Linked DNA regions of Macaca fascicularis. The protein of the gene in region 1 interacts with the protein of each later gene in a pairwise test. Links are inferred from orthologs where the notes say so. Each region holds a gene or a part of one and is shown in the gene's direction. Other genes may lie near its edges. The genes, in order: GADD45G, LRIF1, EEF1A1, ARPC5L, TSNAX and AFAP1L1.

What was found.
Region 2: the proteins of GADD45G (region 1) and LRIF1 interact in binary tests that used the Homo sapiens proteins (3 or more experiments, as listed by UniProt). The link is inferred for Macaca fascicularis from reciprocal best matches to the Homo sapiens genes GADD45G and LRIF1.
Region 3: the proteins of GADD45G (region 1) and EEF1A1 interact in a two-hybrid assay, tested with the Homo sapiens proteins (2 studies listed by BioGRID and IntAct). The link is inferred for Macaca fascicularis from reciprocal best matches to the Homo sapiens genes GADD45G and EEF1A1.
Region 4: the proteins of GADD45G (region 1) and ARPC5L interact in binary tests that used the Homo sapiens proteins (3 or more experiments, as listed by UniProt). The link is inferred for Macaca fascicularis from reciprocal best matches to the Homo sapiens genes GADD45G and ARPC5L.
Region 5: the proteins of GADD45G (region 1) and TSNAX interact in binary tests that used the Homo sapiens proteins (3 or more experiments, as listed by UniProt). The two-hybrid records come from large-scale screens. The link is inferred for Macaca fascicularis from reciprocal best matches to the Homo sapiens genes GADD45G and TSNAX.
Region 6: the proteins of GADD45G (region 1) and AFAP1L1 interact in binary tests that used the Homo sapiens proteins (3 or more experiments, as listed by UniProt). The two-hybrid records come from large-scale screens. The link is inferred for Macaca fascicularis from reciprocal best matches to the Homo sapiens genes GADD45G and AFAP1L1.

What each region holds. Positions count from the first base shown.
Region 1 is NC_088389.1:119,949,110-119,952,422, forward strand, and holds GADD45G (growth arrest and DNA damage-inducible protein GADD45 gamma), read left to right. Parts: upstream 1-1,270; 5' UTR 1,271-1,380; coding exon 1,381-1,433; intron 1,434-1,689; coding exon 1,690-1,791; intron 1,792-1,924; coding exon 1,925-2,138; intron 2,139-2,226; coding exon 2,227-2,337; 3' UTR 2,338-2,813; downstream 2,814-3,313. UniProt on the Homo sapiens protein: Involved in the regulation of growth and apoptosis. Mediates activation of stress-responsive MTK1/MEKK4 MAPKKK.
Region 2 is NC_088375.1:123,364,275-123,368,285, forward strand, and holds the start of LRIF1 (ligand-dependent nuclear receptor-interacting factor 1), read left to right. Parts: upstream 1-1,211; 5' UTR 1,212-1,446; coding exon 1,447-1,514; intron 1,515-4,011. UniProt on the Homo sapiens protein: Together with SMCHD1, involved in chromosome X inactivation in females by promoting the compaction of heterochromatin.
Region 3 is NC_088378.1:101,525,493-101,529,361, forward strand, and holds the end of EEF1A1 (elongation factor 1-alpha 1), read left to right. Parts: intron 1-819; 5' UTR 820-849; coding exon 850-993; intron 994-1,347; coding exon 1,348-1,527; intron 1,528-1,648; coding exon 1,649-1,945; intron 1,946-2,028; coding exon 2,029-2,179; intron 2,180-2,266; coding exon 2,267-2,523; intron 2,524-2,620; coding exon 2,621-2,855; intron 2,856-2,949; coding exon 2,950-3,074; 3' UTR 3,075-3,369; downstream 3,370-3,869. UniProt on the Homo sapiens protein: Translation elongation factor that catalyzes the GTP-dependent binding of aminoacyl-tRNA (aa-tRNA) to the A-site of ribosomes during the elongation phase of protein synthesis.
Region 4 is NC_088389.1:19,195,162-19,199,361, reverse strand, and holds the start of ARPC5L (actin-related protein 2/3 complex subunit 5-like protein), read left to right. Parts: upstream 1-1,400; 5' UTR 1,401-1,497; coding exon 1,498-1,647; coding exon of another isoform or gene 1,648-1,748; intron 1,749-2,000; coding exon of another isoform or gene 2,001-2,058; exon of another isoform or gene 2,059-4,134; intron 4,135-4,200. UniProt on the Homo sapiens protein: May function as component of the Arp2/3 complex which is involved in regulation of actin polymerization and together with an activating nucleation-promoting factor (NPF) mediates the formation of branched actin networks.
Region 5 is NC_088375.1:17,518,650-17,522,149, reverse strand, and holds part of TSNAX (translin-associated protein X), read left to right. Parts: intron 1-859; exon of another isoform or gene 860-1,024; intron 1,025-1,876; coding exon 1,877-2,254; 3' UTR 2,255-3,500.
Region 6 is NC_088380.1:156,191,012-156,194,511, forward strand, and holds part of AFAP1L1 (actin filament-associated protein 1-like 1), read left to right. Parts: intron 1-269; coding exon 270-449; intron 450-2,430; coding exon 2,431-2,523; intron 2,524-3,500. UniProt on the Homo sapiens protein: May be involved in podosome and invadosome formation.

The sequences.
Region 1 (3,313 bases):
CAGCTTGGACAGGGCTCAGTGGGCCCGGCCGGACAGCTCCGTGGCCGACCCCCTCCACCGCCCTTCCCCCGCACCAGGCCAATGCAAGGGTGTGTGTGTTGGGGGAGGGGAGGAGAAAAGGGATTCAGGATCTTTTTAACCTGCCTGTAGATGGCGCCCCGGGAAACAGATACCGAACTACATCCCCTAAGCTCCAAGGGCCGCAGCCGCGGGGTCCCGGCCAGAGGGCGTCCAGTCGCGAAGACTGCGCAGCAGCTCTCTGTGCTTCCCAACTCGCGAGGCTGCTCGGCACCCGTGCGAGGAACGGGTGGAAGGGAATTACATGTAGCAGGGCCAGTACAGGCGGCGCGTACTCAGGGACCACGGAGTGGCACTCAGCCTCGACCCCACGCGCCAGGCAGCCCGGCGACCCCCACGCGCGGCGGGGGCCTGCCCACCCCACCCGGCGGCAGGTGGACAGTGTTGCTATGAAGAGAAAGCCTCGATTGTCCCTACTGCAAACCGCCACACGCCAGACCTCTGCTATTGTGCGCCCTCCATAGAAATGCAAACGAGCGGCGTGCGCCGGCAGCAATCTGCTCGCCCCTGCCCGCCCCCTTCTCCGGCGCCCCGCTGCTCTCGGCCAAGGGCGGGGAGGTGGGGTAGGATCTTCCAGCGACTACTCAATGTACACATTGAGTATGCCTGGCAGGCATTACCAGCGCGCTCCGGACGCTAGTGGTCAGCTGCAGGGGGCTGTGCCCACTGCCTTTTGCAAGCCTTTAACTGGCGTTACCTGTTTTTACCTTAATTTCCTGCTCCAATGCAACAGTCTCATAAACTTCAAATTAAAGAAAAGAAACAAATAGAAAGGTAGCAATAAAAAATGGAAATAAAATTCCTTTTGATTCTATAAAGGTGCTTTTCGCAAATTGCAGCATCATATTAGCAAACAAGGTTTTTGTGGATTGGCTTTTTTTTTTTTTTTTTTTTTTTTTTTACTTTTTCCTTTTAAGGACTTCAAAAAAAAAAAAAAAAAAAAAAAAAAAGAAAGCCAGGCGAGATGAAATCTGCAGGCTCCAGTCTGCCTGGTAACACCCCAACAAAAGCGGCAGATTTGAGGCATTGTCATCCCCCGCACCCCTCCCCACGTGGCCTTCTGGCACGAGCCGCGGGCTCGCGGTCTCATTTACATCAGAAAGCGGGTGCCGGCCAATAGGCGGGCAGCCTCGCGCCAGCTGGCGGCGCCGCACCCATCAGCCTATATAAGGACGCGCAGCGTAGCCCGGGCGCACTCGCTGGTGGTGGGCGCGCCGTGCTGAGCTCTTGGTCTCAGGGTGTTCGCCCGCGTCCCCTCCGCGCTCTCCGCTTGTGGATAACTTGCTGTTGTTTGATCGCACTATGACTCTGGAAGAAGTCCGCGGCCAGGACACAGTTCCGGAAAGCACAGACAGGTGGGTTTCAGGGCGCTGAGAAAGCGGCTGGTCAGTCGGCGACCGTCAGGGTTCTCCAGGGTGGGAATCCGCGGGATAGGAGCCGAGCCCGGGGGTGCGGGCGTCAGATCCGGGTTGGAGAGCCGGGGTGCGGGCGCCAAGCCGGGATTGGAGTGTGGTTGGAGTTGGAGAGCCAAGGGTGAATCCCCGTGGCCGGGGCTCGGGGCTCCACCGCGCCCCACGGCCGTCTCCCGCTCACTAGCTGGCTCCTCCGCAGGATGCAGGGTGCCGGGAAAGCGCTGCACGAGTTGCTGCTGTCCGCGCAGCGTCAGGGCTGCCTCACTGCCGGCGTCTACGAGTCAGCCAAAGTCCTGAACGTGTAAGTGTAGACGCGACCCAGGCTGGGAGACAGGGGCGGGGATGAATGGCGAAGAGACCGGCGGATGGGAGGGGTGGCTGCGGGAGAACTTGGTTTGCCGGTTCTGACCTTGGTCCCCGTCTTGCCCTCGCAGGGACCCCGACAATGTGACCTTCTGCGTGCTGGCTGCCGATGAGGAGGACGAGGGCGACATCGCGCTGCAGATCCATTTTACGCTGATCCAGGCTTTCTGCTGCGAGAACGACATCGACATAGTGCGCGTGGGCGATGTGCAGCGGCTGGCGGCTATCGTGGGCGCCGGCGAGGAGGCGGGCGCGCCGGGCGACCTGCACTGCATCCTCATTTCGGTGAGTACAGCCCCGTCCGGTCCCCGCCCCGGTGTAGTTCCCGCCTCGGCCCGCGGCCAGCCAGGCTGACCCTGCTCTCTCTCAGCAGAACCCCAACGAGGACGCCTGGAAGGATCCCGCCTTGGAGAAGCTCAGCCTGTTTTGCGAGGAGAGCCGCAGCGTTAACGACTGGGTGCCCAGCATCACCCTCCCCGAGTGACAGCCCGGCGGGGACCTTGGTCTGATCGACGTGGTGACGCCCCGGGGCGCCTAGAGCGCGGCTGGCTCTGTGGAGGGGCCCTCCGAGGGTGCCCGAGTGCGGCGTGGAGACTGGCAGGCGGGGGGGGCGCCTGGAGAGTGAGGAGGCGCGGCCTCTCGAGGAGGGGCCCGGCGGCGGCAGGGCCAGGCTGGCCCGAGCTGAGGACTCTGCAAGTGTCTGGAGCGGCTGCTCGCCCAGGAAGGCCTAGGCTAGGACGTTGGCCTCAGGGCCAGGAAGGACAGACTGGCCGGGCAGGCGTGACTCAGCAGCCTGCGCTCGGCAGGAAGGAGCGGCGCCCTGGACTTGGTACAGTTGCAGGAGCGTGAAGGACTTAGCCAACTGCGCTGCTTTTTCAAAACGGATCCGGGCAATGCTTCGTTTTCTAAAGGATGCTGCTGTTGAAGCTTTGAATTTTACAATAAACTTTTTGAAACAAACTTATGCTCTTTATTGAGGGTAGGGGATCTTTGTGTCGGGGGAGGTGGTGCGCAGGGTTTCAGAGGATTGCTGGAACTCCGTGGAACTGATGGCACCTGTTCCGTCTTCCTGTCGGGCAAGAATGACAGGCTCCTCCGCGCTGGCAGAGGGAGGGCATGCTGCCCAGTGCTAGGGTAGAACTTGAGCCTGGCTCCTACTTTTCTCCTTTTAGGAAGATTTTAAACTTGCAAAACAGGAGCATACTTGAGAAAAGACATCAGTGCAGCAGCTGAAGTCTTGCCTTCCAAGGCGATAACAGTGACCTCTGCCTCCCCTCCCCCTCCCTCGGCCCTCCTCCCCCTCCCTCCCACAGCTGCTTATCGGAACAGCTTGCCTGAGGCCGCAGGCTTTCCTGCACAATGAGCATCGCCTTCTGCAGGCCCTGCCCTTTGTGGTCCCTGAGGACGGTGGCAGGCTGCTTCTGCTCTTGGGGACTTTTTCCTCTTAGATGCTCTGACAA
Region 2 (4,011 bases), on another chromosome or scaffold:
AGTAGTAAAGTACATGGTGTGTTTGGCCAGACAACCTGGATTTGGAGCCTGGCTCCATCACTCACAAGCTCTATGACCTCTAAAAACTTGTTCACCCTCTCTGAGCATCCGTTTCTTCATGTGCATATAATCATTCTTTTATTAGTTGTTAGGAGTAAATTACTTTTGTAAAACACTTAAATCAGTGCCAAGGACACATATGTGTTTACTGGTAAAATAATGGGTGGATGTGGTAATTCAAGCCAGGAGTATGAATAAAACCAGTAATTGAGACAAGACAGTTTGAAAACATTAAGAGAATCAGTTATCAAGAGGTAAGGAACTCCCTTGAAAAGGGAGAGATCTTCAAAAGAGACTGAGAAGTTGTAGACAAAAAAGTAGGAGCAAAACCAGGAAAGTATATTGCCAATGGCGTCAAGATGAGGGAATAATTAATAGTGCTGAGAGGAAAAATTTTGAAGTAGTGTGAGATAAAGACCATCAACTGCAATGGACAGCTGAATAAATGACTGAATGAATACAATGGATGTTCTGATGCAACTCCAAGATCTCCCTTCAGAAACGGAGGTCTATGACAATAAGTGATAGTTTCGATGAACGTGGGCTGGAGGAAAGCGTTACCTAAGTATAGAGGCAAAGCTTCAGGAAAGAGGAGTAAATGGGAAACCTTCAGAGAAGCAGCAACAAAAATCGCTGGACACAGGCAGGCGTTTGAAGTTTTCTCAAGCCACAAGTGCATGATTCCAAAAAAGCCCGCCGATGTCTTTTAATGCACTGACGGGAGAGAAAAACAAACTAGCGGCGAGCACAGAAGCAGAAAATTTAAGATTGACCCCGGAAACATTTTATTTTGCGTAGGTGTCGGGAGCGCTTTCTTTTGCGATTTGTTCCTTGATCCGGAAGAAAAGATAGCAAATATCACTTGCCATTGGATTGAATCATAAGGGTTGGGCTTTAGCGAGCCAGTCACCTTGGCAAACGGACGTGACGACCCCGGAAGACGCCCGACCGAGCTTTTCTCCAGCTATCGGCTTCAGTGGGCGGGGCAGCAGAGCCGGTCTGACGCAGTCTTCAGCACTGACCAGGCCCCGTTGGGGGCGGTGCCACCAAGACCACGCCCCCTGCGCCTGCTCCGGCGGGGTCTGGAGCGTTGTCGTAGGCTCTGGGGGCGGAGACGCACGCCGATTCTCTCTGAGCGTAGGGCTGAGGGCGCAGTCCACCGCCAAGAGCCTTCCGGTTTCTGGGTGGCTGCGCGACCTCGCTCCGAAGCTTGGGGATACACCCTCTGGAGAGCCCGCTGTCGCCCTCCGTTAAGGTCGAACCCCTCACAGTTGCTGCGGGCAACTGCAGCCCAACATTCCCTCGCTTTGGTTCTCGCCCCATTGAGAAACTCGGCCCCACGCTTCCCACTTTCTTGGCTGAGGTGTCCCCTTTCTCCCCACTAAAATGTCAAATAACCTACGGAGGGTCTTCCTGAAACCCGCAGAGGAAAATTCAGGCAGCGCCTCGCGTTGGTAAGTACCGGTTTCGAATCCTTCCCACGCCTGCCCCCCTGTCCGTCTTTGGGATGTGGAGTCGGCCGTCGTTTCCGGACGCTGTGTAGTTTGAGAGGAGTTGGAGCCCGCAGAGTGCGCCACTCAGACGGGAAGCGCTCGTCACCAGGGCGCTTAAAGCCCATAGAGCGCCTTCCTCTGGGAAATGTAAAACCTCTTTAGAGCCAGACACAGCCCCTCCCCGGCTCCGCGGGACTCCAGCGTCTCAAGTTTAATAGGCGGACGGAGTAGATCTCCACGGGAGATGAAAACCAAGATGGCCGACGCTCTTATGTGACTCAAACCTTCTGGAAGATTCTCAGACACACGCAGAAACGCAGCAGCCATCACGGATTAGGAAGTGCAGCCCTGGTGGCGCTGGACCTTCAGTGAAAATAGTTACATTTTAATAGTGAGACAGAAAGGGTGTGTGATTGAAGAAAAATGGCTTTAGAACAAGGAGATTGAATATTTAAAATTTCAAGTAATAGCTTTATGTGAAGAGAGAGAAGTAAGAATGGAGAAATCCTCGTGTAAAGTCAATCCTTTTGACCAGCGTTTTGGGTTGTAATGAAGTGCCGTTTCATTGGCTATTTATATTTGGCATGAGGAGAGTCCAGTATTTCTAAGGAAGATATTCTTGTAAAGTTAGAAAATAGATGATCAGTATTTTAGTTTAGTTTTGTTTTTTTAATTGTATTAAGAGGACATGAATCGGAAACAGAATGTCAGCTAAAGCAGAATGTTTTCACTTGTACTCCCACATGGTTAGTAGATTAAGTGATGAGGAAAAAATAGAGTCTGCAGACTCTAATAAGAAAATGAAGAACTAAGATGCAAAACTGGCCGAAGAGGATTTTCGTTTGAAGAAAATCAGGCTACCTGGGGTTAATCTCAACTTTGCTAGTTAGCATTTGTGAGGCCAGGTACCTGTTTCCAGTCTGTAAATAATAGCACTTAGAAATATTTTAAATATTAGGAGAATGAAATAATGTAAAATACGTCATGTGGGAAAATAGTAAAGCACAATTTAAATGTTAGCTGTTACTATTATAAGCATACAACTTTAATTCTGCACAGATTTTAGCCCAGGAAGTAGTTTTGTTTAATTACAAATAGAAAACTTGATTGCAATAAAGACCGAAAGTAATGTTTGTTCCTTAAAAGCAGTATTATAAAAGGAAATGGTCACTAATAGTAATGAGCCAAAATTCTATTGAAGAACTGTCAAGATAGAACCATTGTATTTCAAATCATAAAGAGGCATTTTGGTATACTTGTGTGTTTTTTTCTTTTCTTTCTTTTTTTTTTTTAATTTTGTGGTGGAAGTTTGGGGGAAGGGGCAGAGAGTGCCCTGTGTAGATATTAAAATGTAGAATTACTTTTTAATGATTAATTTCTGCTGCCTTATTTTAGTACCTGAATAATGACTTCTGACTTAGCTTAATTTATAGAAAATTTGTTTTACGATTGCATTTTTAAATACAAAAAGTAAGATAAACAACTGTGTGTGTGTGTGTGTGTGTGTGTGTGTGTGTGTGTGTACACCCTTAACTCTGTTATCCAATTTCTAATCCTTTTGGGGATTTGGAGATTTTTAAATTACAATTACATTCATATGTCATTTTGAGTTCATTAACTCATTGATTTATACGTTGTTTTTATTATCGTTGAATGTATTTATTTAAATCATTGAGGTTTTACATCATATATTTGGGACATTTACCAGATGACTTTCAGAAGCTTCGACATTTACTTTGGTTAATGGTTGCATATTTGATTCCATTGTTTTTAAGTAACAAAACATCCAAATATAATTTTGTAAATAATATTAACATCAGCCCTTTTAGTTTATTGGAAGCTTAGTTTTCTTATTTTTCTGGTAACATCTTTGATGGTACTAAATGTTTATTTTTATAACTTAAGTGACTATGATTTTCTTCTTATTTGTAGCTTAATTTTTTCCTAAGTTACCGCTTACTAAAAATTTTTCAGTGGCATAATACAGAATTGTATATGGTTATATATTGTTTGAAGTATCTCTAATTCATCAGCGCATAAAATGTAAAATCCAAATTTAATCTTAGAGTACAAAGGAAAAATCTGGAAGATATTTGTGATACTATGCATTTAATTTATGTTGATTTGGGTTTTACTGTCAAAGAACAAAGTAGGAGTCAGAATGCTATAGTGGAAAGAACCTTTAAGTCATAGAGACTTGGGTTCATATCCTAGCTTACCACTTACTATCAATACAGTTTAAACATTTGATGACAAAACATTCATTTAGTACCTACTACGTATGTGGTAGACTGTGCTAAATGGGAAGACTGATTAAATAAAAGCATATGGGCTGTTTCCAGGGAAAACCTTACAGTCATGGTGGAGGAGGAGGAAGATAGAGTTGATGTAGTAAAGGAAAAGAGTAGAGGAAGGGAGTTGGAGGAAAGATTCCAAGAACAGCTGAGTTGGGAAACGT
Region 3 (3,869 bases), on another chromosome or scaffold:
GGGTGGGAGAGGTCGAGGCCTTGCACTTAAGGAGTCCCTTCGCCTCGTGCTTGAGTCGAGGCCTGGCTTGGGCTCTGGGGCTGCCGCGTGCGAATCTGGTAGCACCTTCGCGCCTGCCCCGCTGCTTTCACTAAGTTTCTAGCCATTTAAAATTTTTGATGACCAGCTGCAACGCCTTTTTTCTGGCGAGATAATCTTATAAATGCGGACCAGGATCTGCACACTGATATTGGGGTTTTGGGGGCCGCGGGCTGCGACGGGGCTCGTGCGTCCCAGCGCACATGTTCGGCGAGGCGGGGCCTGCGAGCGCGGCCACCGAGAGTCGGACGGGGGGAGTCTCAAGCTGGCCGTCCTGCTCTGGTGCCGGGCCTCGCGCGGCGGTGTGTCGCCCCGCCCTGGTCGGCAAGCCTGGCCCGGTCGGCACCAGTTGCGTGAGCGGAAAGATGGCCGCTTCCCGGCCCTGCCGCAGGGAGCTCAAAATGGAGGACGCGGCGCCCGGGAGAGCGGGCGGGTGAGTCACCCACACAAAGGAAAAGGGCCTTTCCCTCCTCGGTCGCCGCTTCATGTGACCCCACGGAGTACCGGGCGCCGTCCAGGCACCTCGATTAGTTCTCCGAGCTTTTGGAGTACGTCTTCCTTAGGTTTGGGGGAGGGGTTTTGTGCGGTGGAGTTTCCCCACACTTGGTGGGTGGAGACTGAAGAGTTAGGCCAGCTTGGCGCTCGATGTAATTCTCCTTGGAATTTGCCCTTTTCGAATTTGGATCTTGGCTTATTCTCAAGCTTCAGACAGTGGTTCAAAGTTTTTTTCTCCCATTTCAGGTGTCGTGAAAACTACCCCTAAAAGCCAAAATGGGAAAGGAAAAGACTCATATCAACATTGTCGTCATTGGACACGTAGATTCGGGCAAGTCCACCACTACTGGCCATCTGATCTACAAATGCGGTGGCATCGACAAAAGAACCATTGAAAAATTTGAGAAGGAGGCTGCTGAGGTATGGGAAAGATGAACTAAAATGAGTTTTACCAGCAGAATCATTAAGTGGTAGTGATTTCCCCAGAACTAGTGAGTGGTTTAGATCTGACCCTACTTATTAAAATAGTTTGCTTTTGGTTACTTCTGTAACCGTATTGCTAGTGAGTAGTTTCGATTTGGATATTAATAGTCAAGATCCTACTTTAAAAAGTTTGCTTTTTGGTTGCTTCTGTAACCCTATCTAAGTGACTAAAATCACTTAGGACTTGCAGTTGTAAAGTGGAAACTATGTGCCAATTAAGGGCTGGGGGCAAAGAAATTGAAGCTGGAGTTTGTGTGTTAGTAACCAAGTAACAACTCTTAATCCTTACAGATGGGAAAGGGCTCCTTCAAGTATGCCTGGGTCTTGGATAAACTGAAAGCTGAGCGGGAACGTGGTATCACCATTGATATCTCCTTGTGGAAATTTGAGACCAGCAAGTATTATGTGACTATCATTGATGCCCCAGGACACAGAGACTTCATCAAAAACATGATTACAGGGACATCTCAGGTTGGTGGGATTAATAATTCTAGGTTGTTTTTTTTTTTTTTTTTCCCCTGAAATGCCTGTCTTGTGCATTGGTTTTGTCCTTTGGAGAGTTGACAGGGATATGTCTTTGCTTTCTTTAAAGGCTGACTGTGCTGTCCTGATTGTTGCTGCTGGTGTTGGTGAATTTGAAGCTGGTATCTCCAAGAATGGGCAGACCCGAGAGCATGCTCTTCTGGCTTACACACTGGGTGTGAAACAACTAATTGTTGGTGTTAACAAAATGGATTCCACTGAGCCACCCTACAGCCAGAAGAGATACGAGGAAATTGTTAAGGAAGTCAGCACTTACATTAAGAAAATTGGCTACAACCCCGACACAGTAGCATTTGTGCCAATTTCTGGTTGGAATGGTGACAACATGCTGGAGCCAAGTGCTAACGTAAGTGGCTTTCAAGACCGTTGTTAAAAAGCTCTGGGAATGGCGATTTCATGCTTACACAAATTGGCATGGTTGTGTTTCAGATGCCTTGGTTCAAGGGATGGAAGGTCACCCGTAAGGATGGCAATGCCAGTGGAACCACGCTGCTTGAGGCTCTGGACTGCATCCTACCACCAACTCGTCCAACTGACAAGCCCTTGCGCCTGCCTCTCCAGGATGTCTACAAAATTGGTGGTAAGTTGGGTGTCAACAAAGTTGAATTTGAGTTGGTAGAGTACTATCTTCCTTCATAGGTATTTAGTATGCTGTAAATATTTTTAGGTATTGGTACTGTTCCTGTTGGCCGAGTGGAGACTGGTGTTCTCAAACCCGGTATGGTGGTCACCTTTGCTCCAGTCAACGTTACAACTGAAGTAAAATCTGTCGAAATGCACCATGAAGCTTTGAGTGAAGCTCTTCCTGGGGACAATGTGGGCTTCAATGTCAAGAATGTGTCTGTCAAGGATGTTCGTCGTGGCAACGTTGCTGGTGACAGCAAAAACGACCCACCAATGGAAGCAGCTGGCTTCACTGCTCAGGTAACAATTTTTAAAGTAACATGTTCCTACCTTATTGCAGAGGCTAAAGTCATTTGAGACTTTGGATTTACACTGAACGCAAATCTTTTTTTCCAAGGTGATTATCCTGAACCATCCAGGCCAAATAAGTGCTGGCTATGCCCCTGTGTTGGACTGCCACACAGCTCACATTGCATGCAAGTTTGCTGAGCTGAAGGAAAAGATTGATCGCCGTTCTGGTAAAAAACTGGAAGATGGCCCTAAATTCTTGAAGTCTGGTGATGCTGCCATTGTTGATATGGTTCCTGGCAAGCCTATGTGTGTTGAGAGCTTCTCAGACTATCCACCTTTGGGTAAGGATGATTACTTAAACGTAAATAAGTTGTGTTAAAGATGAAAAATACAACTGTGAACAGTTTTGGTAATACTACATTTTTTTTTTAATAGGTCGCTTTGCTGTTCGTGATATGAGGCAGACAGTTGCGGTGGGTGTCATCAAAGCAGTGGACAAGAAGGCTGCTGGAGCTGGCAAGGTCACCAAGTCTGCCCAGAAAGCTCAGAAGGCTAAATGAATATTATCCCTAATACCTGCCACCCCACTCTTAATCAGTGGTGGAAGAACGGTCTCAGAACTGTTTGTTTCAATTGGCCATTTAAGTTTAGTAGTAAAAGACTGGTTAATGATAACAATGCATCGTAAAACCTTCAGAAGGAAAGGAGAATGTTTTGTGGACCACTTTGGTTTTCTTTTTTGCGTGTGGCAGTTTTAAGTTATTAGTTTTTAAAATCAGTACTTTTTAATGGAAACAACTTGACCAAAAATTTGTCACAGAATTTTGAGACCCATTAAAAAAGTTTAATGAGAAACCTGTGTGTTCCTTTGGTCAACACTGAAACTTTCAAGTTTTACCTCGCTTAGGAGAAAGACATGTAATTCTGGTTTTATGAATTTGTGGAAACTTTATGAAAATGTAGTTCTCAAGTTAACACTTCTAGGTGGAGATAAGGTTGTTTTCCTCCCACGTACTTGGAAGGGGAAGGAATCTAAGCTATGGGAGGGCTGCTTTGATTTCCACATTGGAGAGAAATGCAGCATGTTACTGATGGCCTGTCACTAAGGAAGGCCAAATGCTGTAATAGAGTCCTTGTGTTGCATAGAAAGCTTAATGTAGTTAAACCAATGTTAAGTGAATCTTTGGAAACATGAAATAGTTTCCAAATTACAGGGATGTGCGTTTTAAAACAGGTTAAAATGACTGGGCAGTGGAAGTTGACTATTTCCCCTGACATAAGAAGTAAGTAGTTGCTAGTGCACACCCTATGTGAGTGGAGGGATCCATTTTAAAGTCAGTGGAGTTAGCTTTATG
Region 4 (4,200 bases), about 100 Mb from region 1:
GTGGGCTTTTCGTGTTTCCAGGACCCCTGAGACTGTTTTTTTTTTTTTGAGACCGAGTTTTGCTCTTGTCGCTCAGGCTGGAGTGCAATGGCGCGATCTCGGCTCCCTGCAACCTCCACCTCCCAGTTTCAAGCGATTCTCCTGCCTCAGCCTCTCGAGTAGCTGGGATTACAGGCCTGCGCCACCACACCCGGCTAATTTTGTATTTTTAGTAGAGACGGGGTTTCAGCATTTTGCTCAGGTTGATCTTAAACTTCTGACCTCAGGTGATCTGCTCGCCTCGGCTCCCGCAGTGCTGGGATTACAGGCGGAGACTTTTCTTTAGCGCCAGTTTCCCACTATGGGAGTCTGTATCCTGGTTACCACGGAAGATTAGGTTGCATCATAGTCTGGCAATAGTTTTTTGATCTTTAGACACAGTTCAATGAGAAGTATTCGAAGCAGTAAAAATGAATCACATTCCAACTTTTATTAACAAGGGTACTATTAGATGAAAACAGTTTTCATAGTATTATATAAAAGACCCATTTTACTTACCCTAAGGCTAAGATCAATTAACAGAACCCCTGGGGTAACAGCCCAGGCACCAAATCTGACACCTCAGAGTCGTCCTTGACTTCCCTAACCCGCTTTCCCGCATCTCAGATTCTGAGAATTTGGTTTCTATCAAGATGTGCCTCTCAAGCCAGGCCTCTCCTGCCAGGACGGTGGCCACAGGGCCATCTCCCTCTCCTGGGGCCCCAACTGCCTGGTCAAGGTGACTGCTACACACGTGGGGCCGCAAAATCCCTCGAGTCACAATGTCTTCAACGCCTTGTCAGCCCTCTGATCGCACTAAACGTCTTTAAAGCCTCCCACTCCTTTAACAGGGTCACCTCTGTGTAAAGGCGACCTCCTCGTGCTAAGTGTGGCGGCGTTCAAGATTCCGAGACACAGACCCCTCCCGCGTCACTCCCCGGGCACAGGAACTCCTACTCATCCCTCAGTCATCAGCTCGAAGGTTTCTTCTCCAAGAAGCCTGCCCAGCACCCGAGAAGTAGAGCCGCGAGCCTTCTCCCGGGCGCCCAGTCTTCCCCCGTACAGGCAAGGATCACCCCGGAAGCCCGCGCCGGGCCCCGCTGAGGCCAGCGGTTCCTCGGAGGCGCGGGAAAGCCGGATCACCAGCGCGATTACGGCACACACTATGCGGGGCCTGCAAGGATACCGGGCGGCCACTCCTCAGTGGTAAGACAGAGGCTCCGCGGAAAAGAGACTGAGGCCGCGGAAACCCCATACCGCACTCCACGGGACAGGTTCCGCCCCGCCCCGATGACGCTTCCGGATCCGGCGTGTGCCGGAAGTGGGCGGGCGGCGGCGGCTGCGCGCGGAGGCGGTGGAGGAGGTGCTGGGAGCAGCCCGGTGGCCGCTTCCCGCCCCCGAGCCGGAGCCGGTGCGAGTGGAGCAGAGCTGAGGTCGGGCCGCGAGTGGAGCCGGCTGAGCGGGCGCCGAGCTCCCGCCATGGCCCGGAACACGCTGTCCTCGCGCTTCCGCCGGGTGGACATCGACGAATTTGATGAGAACAAATTTGTGGACGAGCAGGAGGAGGCGGCGGCGGCGGCGGCGGAGCCAGGCCCGGACCCGAGCGAGGTGGACGGGCTCCTGCGGCAATATCCTTTCCTGACGCGGCGTCCGGGCCTGCGCGCGGCCTTCCCACCTTCTCGGGCCCCTTCGGGCGGGCCTCTGCTGTCTCCGACCCCCGGCCCCCTCAGGTCAGCCTTCAACTCCCTGCCGACCTGACTCCCCTGGGCCGTGCTCCCCTGAGTCCTGGTCTCCCTGGGTCCTTCCTCCCCAGCCCTGGCCCCTTCTTGTGCAGCGCAGCCCCGCAGGCCCTTGGACCCGGTGGACGGGCTCCCTCGGTAGCCCCGCAGGTCCCGCGCCCCGGGCTCTCTTCCCCTCTTGCCTCCTCGTCCCCTCACGCTGTCCCTTTCTGGGGGCCCCAGCACTCCGTCCCTCCCTTGCAGGAAATCGGGCCTATGGCGGGGCTGGGTCGGCGGCAGGGCGGAGGTGAGCCGTATCTGAGTAACCGAGTGATCGGTGAGGCTGGGGCGCGGTCTTCCGGGGCCAGATTGCCGCAGGGCGTGAAGATAGGTGGGTGGACGGCTGTGGGGAAGACAGGACCCAGGAGGGAGTGGAGGCGGCCGCCCTATTTCAGCCCTGGGGTCTAAGGTTGTGCCTCCCCTCCCCCAGTCAGTCTGACCCTCCCGCTTAATGCTGAGAAAGGGAAACCCTGTGGTTCCTCTGGTCACCTTGGTGGTCTCAGCTACGCTCAGCAAGTGAGTCTTGGCTCCCCCCAGTACCCTTCTGGTGCAGGAAGCAGCGGAAAGAACTAGTAGTTCAGAGCTAAGAAAAACCAGACACCTTGAAGTGAAGTGTGAAAGTAGAGCCCCACGCCTGGAAATGACTGTTCTTGTGGCCACAGAAAACAGCATTTAGAAAAGATTAAAAATAGAGGTGATTGTCACAGCCTTGCTTGGTCCTTTAGCAGTATGAGCGCAGGAAACTGACTTATTCTCACCGGAAGGATTTTTCTTTATTCAAATGGTGTTCCAGGAAGCCTGTCCCCTCCCCCCGCACGGGCGGGGGCAGGGTTGGAGGCCCATGCTGTACATAAATCAGGTTCTCGGTGTTGAACCAGTTGACTCAGCTTGGAAAGTGGGGCCTGCTGCTTTAGGGGGAGCCCGGCAGTGCTCCTCAGTGTGCCTTTAAAACGAAAACCTTCAGACTTGGTTTGAACAGGAATGTGTTTTCGGAAGTGGAGATTCAAGCTTGTCATTCCTGCCCCATCAGGATCCCCCAGTCCACCCTAGTTATGAAATGGGGTCAAGGGAAGGGTCCCCAGGAGGGAAGGTTGGTTGTAGTCAGGTGCAGGGCCTGGCTTATGGAGAGTCAGTGCTGAAGGGGGCTCCAAGGTCAGGCCTTTGGCCCAGGACCCTCATTGAACAGATGAGGAGGTCAGGCCTGTCAGCTGCTGCCTTGGTCTGGGTGCAGAGCCTTGTTGAAGGTCATGTCTTGGGACTCCCCTGCCTGGTGACAGGTTCCTTGAGGCTGCTTAGAGGCCTGGGTTTAGCACATCCCGGGGATGGTCGTTTCTCCATTCATGGCAGCGGCAGAAACCTTGTTACCATGGAGAGTGTTCCACCTGGGGTTGGGGAAAGGGAGGTTAGCGGATAAAGAGAACTGAAACCCTGGCAAATACCGGACCCAGGTAGGGAGGAGAATGGAACTGATATTTATTGGGTCTCTATCATGTGCCAAGAATTGGACTTAGACCATTGAGGACAGGGGAGCAGGGAGAGGGATAGAGGGATTGGGGTTGGGGAGGGCAGAGAGGGACCCTGTCCTGGGGCTATATAGGGAAGTGTGTGTGGCGGGAGATCACGCAGATGGGGTAGAAGGAACTCGGCTGTGCATCTTCGCACACCGCGCGCCATCATGCTCTGGCTCTGACCTCGGATAGGTCACATACCCTCTCACAACTCAGCATTCTCCTCTGTGACGTGGCAGACAGCCGTGCTGGCTTCCTAGGTTCTGTGGGAGCCTCATGGGCTAACATCAGCATCAGGGGGCACACAGCAAGTGTCTGCTCAGGTCTGCAGCTAGAGCGGCAGCACGGGATTGTGGGAGGAGCTTGGGTGCCAGGGCCATCTAGACAGCTTAGTTTTGTGACCCTGTGCAGGTAATTTCCGTTCTCTGAGCCTCAATTCCATTGCCTTTCAAATGAGATAATGATTGTTGTTACTGGGATTTTTGGAATGAGATGGCATGTGAAAGCACCAGGCACAGGATCCGAGACCTTGTGGCGATTTAAAAGTATGAGTTCCTTTCCCCTCAGTGAAGCAGCTTCTAGACTTCTGGATCAGGGCTCTGGCCAGAGCAGTGGTTTTGAGCGATTTTGCACCCCTCCCCTCCACCTCAGGAAATTAGAAACATTTTGATAGTTACAGCTTGGGGATGCCACTGGAATCCAGTGGGCAGAGGCCTATGACCCACAGCTGAGATCCCACGTCAGAGAATCGTGGGTCCACAGTGTCAGTTGTGCCGTGATTGAGGAAGATCTAGAGATCAAGGGCTGGGCAGGGTTCCCCCAGCACCACAGCCTATTCTCTGAAAAGGTCTAAAGCCAGCCAAGTATGACAGCCGGCTTCATGAATGACAGGTGAT
Region 5 (3,500 bases), on another chromosome or scaffold:
AAATTGAGAGTCAGAGTACTGTTTTCAGGACTTAGGTACTAGATTATTTTAAGATTATGGGGCTATAATGTTCATACACACGTTTCAAATTAAGACTATGTTCATAAATAAGTTTTAGTGCTAAAGATGCGTGGTGCTGAAAATTCTGGGAATTTGATTGGGAAAGGTATTTTGCTCTTACTTGCCTGTTGAGAATATTGTCAAAACTATGTAATCTTTATTTAAAAAACTTTTTGTGAAAAAATTTCAAATGTGCAGAAAAATAGATTGGAAACAATAGTGCCACTAACTAGCTATCATATTCCCATAGCTCAACATCATATTCCCATAGCTCAACATCATATTACCTGTGATGTTTCTCTGGCCTGATTTCTTATGCTAAACGATGAGGACGTTGCACCAGATGGTCTCTGCAGAGTTCAGTGTTAGGAGTCATATATTAGATACATAGCAAAGAGTGATCTTAAGAAAGCTATCTCCCTCTTCTCAGCTTGCATTTATGTAACTTCCTTTAAACTTGAATCAAAAGAATTATTAGTTCCTCAAATGCACAATTCTTACCTGCACACCTTTGTAGTTCCCACTACCTAAAATGTCCTTTGATGTAACTGAAACTTCAACTACCCTTTTATACATACAGTCTTTTAATAGCAATTTAGGCATTGTCTCTGCCAGAAAGAATTCAATAGAGGGAAATTGATGTGGAGAGAGATTTCATGATGATAGTAATCATGATAGCAGCTAGCATTTGTTGAATATTTACTTTGTGTTGGGCATTATGCCAAGAACTTGGTAAATGTTATCTCATTTAATCCTTAAAATAAACCTCTGAGGTAGGTACTGTTATCCCATTTTACAGATGAGGAAACTGAGGTTTAGAGAGATGAAATAACTTGCCCAAGGGCATACACCTTATGAAGCAAGGTCCTGGAAGAGGTGGGAGGAGATGGGTCAAGGTCATTTGGAAGAGTTAACCTCAAACAAGAGGAGGGACAACTCATCATCTGAGACTGGAGGATAGAAGGTAAAGATGGCTGTGGATATAAATATTTTTTTTTTGGTAGGGATGAAGGCAGTTGCGAGAAATTGTGCTAGGTAAGCTGGCAAATGAGACCAGGTCAGTGAAGTTGCGCAAGCTTGTCTACTGAAAGTGAAGAGGTTTGGGATTTGAGTAGAGCACTGAGGGTGAAAGGTTTGAAATCGTGTTTGAAGAGGCTGGAGAGAGAACCATCTAATGATAAGTAAAAGGATTGGAGAGTAATTTGTAGTGGTAAAAACTCTGCAGTTGTGATTACCATTTTTTAACTTGGTGAGTGGTACTCAGCCACCTGAATAAAGGACTAATGAGTAGATTTTAGTGTTGATTGAGGATTCTGTTTTTGCTGGGTAGGTGCAGTAGAAAATACAGCAGTCTAAGGGAATTGAGGATGCAGTGAGAGAATAATAAATTGTGATGGTCAGTGCTGAGTAGGGAAAGGCAAGAGGCCAGAAAAAGACTGAGCAACTTAGAAAAACATTAATGGATCACAAACTTGGAGGGCCGTATGATTTTCCATTTAAGTAAGTAATTGTCCTGCAATAAAGTTATTAAGCCTTGTTTAAGAATATTTTTATTTTGTACGTCAAGTGGAGTTGGAAATAGTTGGTTTCATAATGATACATTTCAAAAGCATCTTGAAGGCATATGGTTCAATTCACTACCCAGGGCACAGATTCCTCCTGTAACATCCCAAATGGTTATTAAGCAAAATAGATTTATTTTATTTAGAAAAAATTAGTATGACTGATTTGCTATTGATTTTGTACTTCTATAATAAATGTGATACATGCTATATTCACTCTTTTTCACAGTCTTTTGTTTTTTTTTTTAAACCAGCCTTCTTCTGATACACAGGATGAGCAGTTTGGTACTTGGAGACTGAGAGTCACACCTGTCGATTACCTTCTGGGAGTGGCTGACTTAACTGGAGAATTGATGCGGATGTGTATTAACAGTGTGGGGAATGGGGACATTGACACCCCCTTTGAAGTGAGCCAGTTTTTACGTCAGGTTTATGATGGGTTTTCATTCATTGGCAACACTGGACCTTACGAGGTCTCTAAGAAGCTGTATACCTTGAAACAAAGTTTGGCCAAAGTGGAGAATGCTTGTTATGCCTTGAAAGTCAGAGGGTCAGAAATTCCAAAACATATGTTGGCAGATGTGTTTTCAGTTAAAACAGAAATGATAGATCAAGAAGAGGGTATTTCTTAGAATAACATTACTCAGTTACTAATTCTTTTGAGAACTCCTAAGAGACCAATTTGTAAGACTTATTTAGTATTTCATTTAACTTTATTGTGGCTTTTACATAGAAACATATTCAGTTGTACTTGTTTTAAATTGTATACAAGCTGTACATAAAATTAGCGAAATGAATCATTTCTTATATCTTATTCATGAAAGTTTGCATACAGATGTTTGCATATATGCCTTTTTGAATTTTTGCTGGTTAACCTTTATCATTTATCTTTGTAATGTGAACCTGTTTCACAGTGCACTTTTTGCCATAACCTGTCTTAATTTACTTTTTCTGAAGTTTGGAGTGATAATTTTTAGTGGAAGCAATTTGTAATTTAAGTTGGTGATTTTATTATATATAGAAAAGATTTTTTAGTTAAACTTCTGGACTTGAGCTTCCTATTTAAATTTCTTGTTAATATTGTGCCAAGCCTCAAAAATAGGTTTATTCCATGGAACAAGAATTAAAAATGAATAAGCTATCAATATATAATTTAAATACAAGTTTAGGCTGGGCGTGGTGGCTCACGCCTATAATCCCAGCACTTTGGGAGGCCAAGGCAGGCAGATCACGAGGTCAGGATTTCGCGACCAGCCTGACCAACATGGTGAAACCCCGTCTCTACTAAAAATACAAAAATTAGCTGGGCATGGTGGCATGTGCCTGTAATCCCAGCTACTTGGCAGGCTGAGGCAGGAGAATCGCTTGAACCCAGTAGGCAGAGGTTGCAGTGAGCCGAAATTGTGCCACTGCACTCCAACCTGGGCAACAGAGCAAGACTCCATCCAAAAAAAAAAAAAAAAAGTACAAGTTTATAAAGTATTATAGTGAAAAATTCACATTCTGTCTGATTTTAGGCCATTTAAAATTTATACAAAACAACCTTCCATAAAAATTTGACAGGTGCCCAGATGTTACTTTCTCCATTTATTTTTTTGTTTTTTATCACAGAAGGTCTGATAGAGAATTGGAGCTGAATTATATTTTTGTTGGTAAAGTTAAGTTGAACTATATGCTTGTACATACAATGGAAATGCTTTTAGTAGTGATTATTTAGCAATTTTTGTTTTTGTTATATTAGGCATGTTTGGAGGCTTTCCTATTCTAGCATTTAAATTTAAATTTTATTAAAATTAAATAATTTAAATCTAGCATTTAAATTTAAATAATTTAAGTCTAGCATTTACATTTAAATAATTATAATGAAGTTTTGAAATA
Region 6 (3,500 bases), on another chromosome or scaffold:
GGTAACCTGGTCTTCCTAGGATTATGCTACAGTCTGCCTCTTCCCAAATAGGTAGTTGTGACTGAAAATTGCCCAAAGATGCCTCCTCCCAGGCTTCTCTTCCAGGGTGGACGGCCTGGACCCTTTAGCTATCCTCGCACAGTGCCCATGGCTAGGGTGGGGGAGGCCTCTAAAGGGAGGTCGGGCCTCCCCCGAGCCTTTGTGTGAGGATGTCTTTCTCCTCTACCCTCTACTTCAGAAGATCCTGATGCCTTTCTCTCCCTGTCCAGTGTTATAAAAGCTCCAAGGACCGGCAGCCGCATCTGAGGTTGGCACTGGATACCTGCAGCGTCATCTACGTGCCCAAGGACAGCCGGCACAAGAGGCATGAGCTACGTTTCACCCAGGGGGCTACCGAGGTCTTGGTGCTGTCACTGCAGAGCCGAGAGCAGGCCGAGGAGTGGCTGAAGGTGCGTGGCCTGCACCTGACCTTCCCACCTTCCCACCCTTTCTCTCTTCCCCAAGCCAGCCCTCAGTAGAGCTGGCTCCTGTCCCCGGAAGAGCCTCTTGCTCAGTGCCTGAGCCCAAATGCCCTGTGTGTGGCTAGGGTTTATGTATGGAAATGGGCCTCAGATGTCTCCAGGAGGCAGACTTCATGCTGGAGACCTATGTTCCTTCTAGTTATTTGAATTCCCTTTCCAAATCCTTACTGTGGGCTTGTTCAGGCTGCACTTGTATACCTCCTGGAACTGGAAGCTTAGTGTCTACAAAGGAAGCTGATTTCATCATTAGACCAGTGAATTCTTAAAACAACAACAACAATAAAGGAAAAATCCTTCCTTGCCTTGAAACGTACATCCTTGTAATGACCACCCATGGGCCAGCTTCTGCCTCTACAGCTACACGGAACAATGAGAATTACCAAAAAATGAGCACTTACTTTGTGCCATGCATTGTGCCAAGAGCTTTACATACATGACCTCATTTCTGCTTGAAAATGGGACAAAATATTATTGTTCCCTTTTCACAGATGAGGAAACTAAGACGCAGCTTTGAGAACTTATGTGACTTGCCAAAGGTCACACAACCAAAGTGATTGGAGCCAGAATTTGAAGCTAAGAAGTAAGTCTCCTCCAAAGGCCATAGGCAGGATGACATAGTGATGACATGGGAGAGGGGACTTTGTGGCACCCACACTTGAGTCAAGCCCCAGGCCTAAGGGGCACTTACTGGTTGTGTGACCTTCAGCAAATGACTTTGCCCCTCTGTGCCTGTTTTTTTCATCTGTGAAATGGTCCTTGGAAGGATTCTGGAGAGCACTCGGCACAGTGCCTGCCAGGCAGTGAGTGTGTGGCAACTGTCAGTAATTACTGCCATGATGACTGCGATGCCCCACCCCCCATTCCTTTACAGCAGACCCCCATCCCTGCACCGCCTCTACTTCACTCTGACACCGTCCTTTCCTCCTCTGATCTTCCTGCTGGAACAATGAAACCAAACACCTCCCTCCCTACCCAGCCCCTTCCTTCCTGTGATAACCAGCCCCCCTGATGGAACATTTGGTGTTTCCCATTACCTCTTTGTCTCAGGAGGGAAGGAAGGGGAGAACCTGCCTGCTGGGGGAGTCTGTACCCCTCCATGGACTGGTGGGGTCGGCAGACGGAGCCCTAGACTGGAGTTAAAAGAGACCTGCCTTGACATTGATCCCGGGCGGCAGTTAGCCCAGAGGTTAACAGTGGGCAGCTGAACTGCCTGCATTTAGTTTCTGGCTCTGCTGCCCCTAACAGGTGGCTTCCCCTCTGCAAGGCTTGTCATCTTAAGCTGTAACTCAGGGGTCACAAGGCTGCTGAGGGATAAAATGGGATAATCCACAGAAAGCCACCAGATAGGTGAGCAACAAATGGTGGCTGTGATTATTTCCTGATCTCATGCTTATTGCTGCGTGGCCTTGGCAAGTGAGTGGATGCCTTTAGGAGATAGAGGTGATAACTCCAGCTGCCCTACAGGTTGCTGTAAAGGTGCGCGTGGTCACAGAAGCAGGTCCCTCACGCTTGTGAGGCTTTATGGTTCCCATCACTCTTCACATCTGTGGTCCCACTGTCCTCAGGCAACCCAAGGAGGAAAGCAGAGGACTAGTATCATTCCCATGTTGCAGATGTGGACACTGAGACCCAGAGCAGGGAAGTGGCTCTTCCAAGACCACACAACTAATTAGCAATAAGCCTCTTGGTCCCCATCCTTGTATCTTTTCAACCCAGGGGACAGATATGGGAGAAACACTTTACAAACCCCAGTGTGCCCCATGCATGTGCAGGTGGCTATGTCAGCCCATCGCTTCCCCACAGTGGCCCTGACCCTCTGTTCTACAGCATTCACCACACAGACCCCATTCTTCCTTTGCATCGACAGCTTCCCTGCCCACCCGTTCACAGCCGTGTGTCCTCTTCACAGGTCATCCGAGAAGTGAGCAAGCCAGTTGGGGGAGCTGAGGGAGTGGAGGTGCCCAGATCCCCAGTCCTCCTGTGCAAGTTGGACCCGGACAAGGTATATCTGTCTCCACTAGGTCTTCCCCGGGCCAGGCAGTGGCCACTCAACACAGGCTCAACCCCAGGGGAACTCACTGGCTGGGGGAAAAGCCGGGCAACTGCCAAACTGTAGGTGACCAGCACAGAGCTGGCACAACAGTAGGTGCTTAATAAATGTCTCCTGAATTCATGAATGCATGAACAAACGAGTGCCTGTGCCCAAAGTGCAACACAAACCAGAGGAGGGAGTGACGCACCTGCCAGGACAGGAGGAGGTCACGTTGCAATCGTGCCATGAAAAATAAGTTGAAATTTGTCAACTAGAAAAGGAGGGTATATAATCCCAGCACTTTGGGAGGCCAAGGCGGGCACATCACTTGAGCCCAGGAGTTCAAGACCAGCCTGGACAACATAGTGAGACCTCATCTCTAAAACACAAAAATTACAAAACTTATAATTTTTGGTGTGGTGGCACATGCCTGTAGTGGTGTGGTGGCACATGCCTGTAGTCCCCACTACTCAGGAGGCTAAGCTAGGAGAATTGCTTGAGCCTGGCAGGTGGAGGCTGCAGTGAGCCATGATTGCGCCACTGCACTCCAGCCTGGGCAACAGAGTGAGACCCTGTCTCAGAAAAAAAGAAAGAAAAGAGAGAGAGAAAGAAGAAAGAGAAGGAGGGTGCCTGTCTGGAACATGAGAGAAGCAGGCATTAGCCAGTTGGTCAGGCTGTTGGCAAATATGTCCCAGTACCTACACATTGCCAGGTACTGTGGGTAACAAAGGGCCTTGGACCCAGGTCCTCCCCTTAAGGACATTCCAGTCGAGGGGAAGGGTTAAGACCCACAGACACGGGCCTTGCATGATGTAATCAAGGCTTGTATTTATAGACTGTGACTGCATGCCCTGCAGTGTACTAAACGCTTTATGTGTATTAACTGAGGTGATTTTCATAAGAACTCTTTGGGTGGGTACATTTTCAGAGGAGAAAGCTAAGACAGA